Schizosaccharomyces pombe: one gene and its partner. The protein of the gene in region 1 interacts with the protein of each later gene in a pairwise test. Each region holds a gene or a part of one and is shown on either strand. Other genes may lie near its edges.

Region 1 (3,933 bases):
CTTCCAAACCCTTGATAGCGACCTCCTTGTGAAGGGGGTAAATCATCAGGGCGTTGGGAATTAATGGAACCAAGCTTTGCAAAATATTTATCATTTGCTTCTTTTGAAACTGATGGAATAGTTGGAACAGTTGAAGATGAAGTTACAGAAGCATGAGAGGAAACGCTCTTAGGACGATCAACTTTGACCCATTCGACACCATCTACTTCGGCACGAATTTTTTGTCGTAGGTCCTCAGCAATGTCGGTATTGTACTTAAAATGTGTTAGTCAATGTGAATAAAATCAAAATAAGGTAAACTGGAAAAAATATAGAAGGTTCAAAGATCATACTTTTTCACGAATACTTCCGGCAGCAGAAAACATCGGGTCTGTAGACAAGAATGTTTTAGCATTAGAATTTCCACCAACCTGTATAGAAGTTAGTCAGGAGCATGCAACAAATGTGGGCTATATATGTTGTTTCAAGTCATTGATGAAATTATAGTGAGCTTGCATTTTATAACTTCAGGTGATAATCAATTGCGCGTCATGTACTTGTTTTTAACATTAAACATTATTCTTGTCAAAAAAAGGCACTAAATGACTTGGAAAAAATTCGAAATAGCGGCAAGCAAACTCGCAGATCAATAGCGCTACCCTCTCAGCCAAATGAATTATTATATATATATGTTTTTTTTTTGGTAAAATAACCAACAAACTCCAATAGCCCGTATCAATCCTGATGCTTACCTCCATCATCTTCACTTGACGTTCACTCCAATTGTCCATGGTAATACTGCGGACAAAGCTCTTTTCGACTCCCAAACCACGATGCTGTCCACTGCAATCCAAACAAATGAAGATTCCCAAATTACAAGATGCCCATTGTGGATTTGGAGCATCACAATCAAAACATTTCTTGTTTTCAGGAAGACGAGTGAGTTGGTCTAATTTATACGACATTTTTTATTAGATTATTTAAACAACCAACTCATTAATTGTAGTTTGTTCTAAGTGACTTTGAAATTTCGTTATTTTCATGTCTCACCATGGTGTGAGATTTTATGGAAGTGCGTAAGAAAACGTTAAAGATCTGGTGAAACGTATTCCAAGTATATAAAATCAAAACATGAAGGAAATAAATATGTCGTGCAGTTGAATGCATTTATGAGTTTCAACTTTTTCTTGTTTTTGATCCATACTGTTTAAAATACCAGCATCTAGTTTCTTGGAAAGCTTACGGTATTATTTTGAGCAATTTTCATATCTGTCTAAGAGTTCATTGACCTTCAAAATAAATAGATTAAAGAGATTATTCAAGTTACAATAAGTTTGGTTTAAGAAAATGCAAATTAGTTTAAACAATCCTCTCGTTTTTGAAACAAACTGATAATTCAGTGATTTTTGACTACAAATAGAAATTCAGAAATTACTGTGTTCCTCGCTTGTTAAAGGTATGTAGCAGAAAATCTCTTATGAGTTGGCTACCTCTTAAGTTGTATCGTCTTTATGAACTTAACGACTTTTTTAAGGACTATAGAGGACTAGAAGCTTGAAACTACAAAACTAGACTAGTAAAAAGGTTATACCCTTATAAATTTGAGTGAATACATCCACTACTTCCATTGCACACATTAAACCAGTCTTAGTCTGCATAGCAAAGTAATTTGAGCTACAAATTATTTATACTATATATATGTCTTTCGACACACACGTTAAAATGTTTATTAAAAAATATAAAATAATACTATCGAGTTTTTAATTCAATGTAAACAGATACGCTAAAAGGCTGAAAGGCTACGAAGTTATTATTATTGTAATTGCATAGCTTCAAAAATTCTCTCTTTAATTTAAAATTTTAGTTGAGATCAAAGTAATGGTCATCAGTAAGAACTTGAATGTAACCCTAAAACTTGCAGCTTTTTGCAATATATCTTTCCAAGTTTTTAAGAACAAAGTCAAATCATTGCAACTCATTTTGCTAAATATTTTCAATGTTTCTCACGAAAACCGACTGGGAATTGGCTGTGCATCTAGTCAAAACACTTGCTATAATTTAGCACGACATTAAATATTCAAATCATTTGAATAATATTGAATTATTTATTAGAGAATACTGTAATATCATATACATTTCCAATCGCAAAAGTATGCATTTTTAAATGGTTTGCTTGTATATGACCTACCATCTCTATAACTTCATGGTTTCTCTACATGTCTCATATACAGAGTATTTTCGCACAAATTCGAGATCCTTTTCGAAAGTTAAGCTTCTATTCTCTTCCTCTATCTTCTGAAACTTCATCTGTTGACTCCAATGGGTTAAAGAACTCGTTGAAGGATGCGTACTTTGGGCTGGAAAAAGCATTGACCAATACAGACGCCGATTTACCACTAAATTTATGCGATTACATATTTTTTCCAATTGTACCTGTACTAAAGTCCTGGTATCGTGTCCCAAGTACAGGAGTGGAGTATGCCATTCAGTGCGTGAATTTGCTTTACAAGCATGGTTGGAGGGAAGCTCATAATGAAATGTTGACGATGCAACTATTATTGATGCTTCTTAATATAGCAGATGGATGGAAATCTCCTTCGGAAACTGTGGAACAAGATTTTCGTGTTCGAGAAATTACTTTCGAAACGCTTGAGAACGTTATTACAGATTTTAAGCCTAATTTTCACGATAAAAGACAGTATCTTCTCTTTGCGAGAGCTCTTTCTAGTGCTTTGGATATTATTCCAAATAAAAATAGCTCACGGAGATTACAGTTTGCCTCATTGTGTTGCGTCCAAAAGCTAATATGCCCAAAGCAATATCGCTTACCAACAGAATTTCTTACTACTTTTCTTCCTGGCATAGTATCGGGATTGACAAAGGGACTGGCGCCAAATGGAACCTGTCAGTATTTTAAAAACGTGTGTATCTCTTTGAATATTTTAGGTGATACAGTGGTGAAAGCTATTAGTGACGATAACACAAAAGATTTGCCAGATGAAAAAGATGCTTCTTCTAATTCTCATTTTTTTGGCCCAACGAAGCGTACAAAGTCTTGGAAACGCGCTACCTGCCAACAATTAAGCAATGCCGTCAAGGCAATTCTTCACCTTCGTTCTTCACAAAACTTACATGTACAAGATGCTTTATTTGATTTTTGCTTTATCCTATTTAGAGATTGTTTAGATTCACTAAAAGATTGTAGGATTCATTTACTAGAGAGCATGCTAAAATTGATCAATAAAAAAGAAAATCCAAAATTAAGGGACTATGGGATGAACAAACTCGTTTCTCTCATTGAATCATTCAACAATATTACTATGGAATCAGTATTAACTGAATGCCTAAATGATTGGTCTACTACATGGTCTAGTGTTTCCACTTTTGCTTCAGAAGATAATAAATTGGAGGAGTTGAACCGATTGAAAAGTCTCTTAAGTATATCCAGTCATCTTCCTAAGACTTTGCAGCTCATGGAGCCTTTACTGGATGGTATACTCAGCCAACTTGTACCAAAGTCATCGGGAATTGATTCCAATTCGCAGAAGCTTTTAACATCCAGTACTTCGAATGAGTACATCCATGGTGAATTTTTTGGTGGAAATGAGATGGAAAGAACAACACAAGAGATTGTTACAAGCTTCGCAAAGGCACCTAATGTTAAATATGTTATGCAGTCCTTACTTTCTAAGGCTACCTCAGCAACAAATGAAAACTCGGTTCGTGCATTTTGGGCATTTATGGTACTTTTGAAAAGTGACGTAGAAACGGTGGACAGTTTGGAAATGTATATTGATTCATTAGAGCAATATTCATTCGAAGTATTGCAACAATTATCGCAATTAAATGTCTTTACGAAAGCATCGTTGGAGGATAAGCAGAAAAAGGAAAAGTATAATCTTTTGTGTGTTCGTTCTTGCATTGCTATTGACAGCATTAGCTGGATTTCTTCTT
Region 2 (3,933 bases), on another chromosome or scaffold:
TATAACATATATTAGATATATGCGATTTTACATTAGTCAACTTCATACGAAATTGCTGATGTTATTATAACTTGTCTATCTTATCAGTTTTAGAATAAATTGTTCATTGTCTGAATTTTTGAAAACAAATCATCAGCACCTTATTAGAACTCCAAATTTAGCAATTTGTAACATTACAAAAGTACAAGTGACAAGTCACCTCATACCATTAATTCTGTTTGAAAACTGTATATAGTAAACCACGCAGGTAGCTTCAGGAATATACGACAGAATGGGAAAAAAGGAGAAAGTCAATGCTTTGGAATTTTCTGTTAATAAAGGAATTTTTACAAAAACTCGTTTAAAAAGCCTGTATTCTGACTTTACGAGTCTGTTTATAAAAAATCCTGAAGGATTTTTGGCAAACGTAAATACTTGGAGAGAAGCAATTGAAACATCCGCATGGTCTGGGAAGTTGAATTCTAGGATAATCTTAGTTTTCGATGAGACTTTTGAAAGTGCGTTTTCAAGTCCTGCTTTAGGTAGACCTTTGAGCCTTGGTGCTGTTGCGGTACGTGAATTAAGCATTTTTTTTGAAGCTAATAAGCATATAGGCTTACTGGATCCAGCAAGGGGTTTGGCTTCGTAAGCAAGACTTTTTGAACGATTGTAAAAAAGGAAATTTAGTAAGAGAAGACGGTTTTTCTATTTTTTCAATTCTACGGTGGAGTTTTCAGAAACTTGGGTTTCAAAATCAAGCCTCATCCATATTGTCAAATAGATCCCCGAGTGGGCAGTATGTAATTCGAAAAAATATTGAGAAACTTGCTTGCCTTGTACACAATGAAGCAATGCGACGGTGCAGCAGCTATACGAGTGCAATTTATACTTGGGACTTTTTTCAAGATACTTTTGGAAGCTTATACTGGGAAGAAGGAAAATTAAACAAGGATGAGATGGAATGCCTTCTTAATTGGATGTGCTATCAAAAACATGTTTTAATATTTGATTCTAAGGTAAGTTCAGATTATATGTTTTCTCAGCTATTTGTCGATACCGTTTTTTTAACGAGAATAGATAATCAAGTTTTTACCCAACAGCCAAATTGATGCTCAATTAGCTTCAATTGATAAGTCTATTGATGGGTCTGTTGCAGATCTGATACAGGCTAGGGCATCCATCGCCCAAAGATCAGAATTTTTAAACGAGGAATTGGAGCAACTTTCACAAGTGCTAAACCAAGCAGTTAAAAAGGGAGAGAAAACAATAGCAATAACTTATTTACGTCGAAAAAAGATTTTGTCTAAAGATTTGGAAAGGAAAGTTTCTTCGCGTCTGCAATTAGATACTATAATTTCTAATATTGATAATGCGGTTGACAACAAAATTTTGCTTATTGCAATGTCTTCTGGCTCTGAAGCTCTAGACGCAATTTTAGCTCAAATGGGTGGAACTGAAAAAGTGGAAGATGTCTTAGAAAACGTAAATGATACACTGGCTCGTTCGGAAGAGATTGATGCAACTATTCAAACTTACAATCCTCAAAACATTGATTTAGAGGATGAAGCCGTTGAAAAAGAATGGCAGGATTTGGTAGCTGAAGAACAGAAGGTTGAAGATATCGTGTCTACATTAGGCAATGTTTCTCTAAAAACACCATCTGATACTTTTACCCTTACTAATACTGACTCGGATAAAAAGACTTCGAAACCGGAGAAGATTCAAGCTGAGCTGGTTGAGCAATAATTTATATACGTCCTTTTTTAACGATCACTTAAATTCACGGGAAATGGTTTGGTTTACTAATAATTTATGCACATACTAAAGAATAAATGAATACTATAAAAACATTTTTCTTGGTAATAACTATAAAAAACAATAATGCTTATATACTCAATAGAACTTATATAGCTAAAGCGATAAGGTAAAGTACCTGTGTAATGAATTGATGTTAGTTACTAAAAATTTTGCTTTTTATACCTTTAAAAACTAGTAAATTGTTAATTTATTAAATTGATTTCTTGGCAACGACTTAGAAACTTACAGTATATCACATACTCTATAAGTTTATATTATTAGTGTATGACCATAGCTTAACATGAAATACTTTTTTCATAGAATTTAAGTTCTCTAATAACTAAGTGACATTACAATTCTGTTAATATTCTTTGTTTACAAATCAAACAAATAATAAAACATTAGACTTAATAATTATCTAATAGAAGTTTAAATTGGCAATATCTATGCAATATTACAAAGAGCTAGCTAGGCGATTGCATACTCTACAATCAAAAAATGAAAAAGAAGCTCTTGAAAAAGTACCGTTTTTAATTCACTATTTTCAAATTTTAACCAAATATAGCAAATAGACTTTTTGGACAAATTGGTGGTAGAGGTGGACTCGTTGGTTCATGAACAAGATTTGAGGCCATTATTAGAGTTCATTAGCCCTACTGAAAGTTGGTTTTTACTGGGTACGGCGACAATTTTTTATATTAAATTATTAACTCATCCAGACCCTGAATCGATTGATGTAGTGATTAAAGAAGCGTATGTTGTGCGCGCTCACCGGATATTAAGCATTTTTCAAGAACAGTTTATAGAAAATGTTGTTAAAGAGATCAATTGGGAAATCCTAGCTATTTTAATATCATTAAGTGGAATCGAGAATGGACTTGTACGCAATTTGTCAGAATTCCTCTCAACTTCAATCCTCAGCGCTGTTCCTAGACAAAAATTCTTATTATATCTTCTAGAAAAGTATCAAATAAATCTTTTTCATAGAGAAGAACGGTTGACAGATCAAGGTAGACCGGTTGCATTTGAATTACCACCAGACAAATTTCACAGTGATCAAAGTAAAGCACTTCTTGAGCCAAAGTGGAAAACAAAAAATTATCTCATTTCTCACCTTATTTTTTGGATAATTGATCAGCAAAGTTCTTCTAGCATTGAAGTATGTTGGCACAGAATCATTCCATCTGTACTCCGAATATTGAATGATTTATCTCCAAACATTAAACTACAAGGAATTGAGCTAGTCAACAGATTGTTAAAAATTACGGAAAGAGAATTTCTTTTATATACTGGAATTCTAAAAATTTTGAAGGACGATTTGCTCGTATTCTATACTTTCATACCGCCAAGATTTACAATTCAAACGAGTGTTACCCTTATAAATGCCTCCTTCGCAACCCTAGTTTCTCTTTATCCTGAAGAAAATGAAAATTTAAATTCTATTATGCTGAACGGTATTAATTCTGTGTTTCAGTTTGCATTCGATTATCCCCTGATTCTTCAAGCCGCATTTTCTCAAATTATGGTTTTAACTGACAAAATGAATGTTAGTTATTTACCATACCTAACGGTAATAATTTAAATTCGTTACATTTGAAAGTTTACTAATCGCACTTAGTTGACTCTGGATGAACTGTGTCGTATAATACAAAACCCACAAATCATACAGATACCATCGACACTCTCCTTTTTTTTAGAAATATTAACAAAACTATTGGAAATTTACAGTTATCGAATATCTGCACACCATGTTGAGTTATTAATGGCACTAGTGGTTTGCAGTAGAAATTATATGCGATGTAACTTACAAGAGCATCACAATGCAATTGTACAAGCGCTTCAAAACCTCTTCACTTTGATAAAATTGAACATAACTGTTGAGCAACTCGGTGATTACAATGTAATATTGCCACTGCTTGAACCCCTGCAAATCCCACTTTGAGGTACATATAAGGAAAGACTCTCCTCATTACTAACCAACCTTCAACCTAGATAAATTGGTAACAATGGTTATTCGAAAAACGATGGAAAATGGAGAATAAAGGAAATATGGAGCTGTCAAATTCTTATGGTTTTTATAAAAATGGTCGTAGGGTTTCATTCGTAAAAGCCACTAGTGAACAATCGTTGGACGAAGCCACTTTTATTGAAAAAGGA

Evidence for each region.
Region 2: the proteins of tti1 (region 1) and tti2 interact in a two-hybrid assay, tested with the Schizosaccharomyces pombe proteins (one study listed by BioGRID).

Annotation. Positions count from the first base shown.
Region 1 is NC_003421.2:1,424,109-1,428,041, reverse strand, and holds the start of tti1 (TTT co-chaperone complex, armadillo-type fold subunit Tti1), read left to right. Parts: upstream 1-2,174; 5' UTR 2,175-2,195; coding exon 2,196-3,933. Other genes in the region: SPOM_SPCC622.14 (GTPase-activating protein), read right to left, coding at 1-254, 333-410, 732-944. UniProt on the Schizosaccharomyces pombe protein: Component of the TORC1 and TORC2 complexes required for the regulation of the cellular respons to changes in available nutrients.
Region 2 is NC_003423.3:3,897,825-3,901,757, forward strand, and holds tti2 (protein Tti2), read left to right. Parts: upstream 1-2,111; 5' UTR 2,112-2,222; coding exon 2,223-2,297; exon of another isoform or gene 2,298-2,341; coding exon 2,342-3,346; exon of another isoform or gene 3,347-3,394; coding exon 3,395-3,718; downstream 3,719-3,933. Other genes in the region: cmp7 (ESCRT III complex subunit), read left to right, coding at 272-550, 594-995, 1,057-1,725; SPOM_SPBC1604.16C (G-patch type RNA-binding protein), read left to right, coding at 3,808-3,933. UniProt on the Schizosaccharomyces pombe protein: Component of the tel2-tti1-tti2 (TTT) complex that stabilizes protein levels of the phosphatidylinositol 3-kinase-related protein kinase (PIKK) family proteins.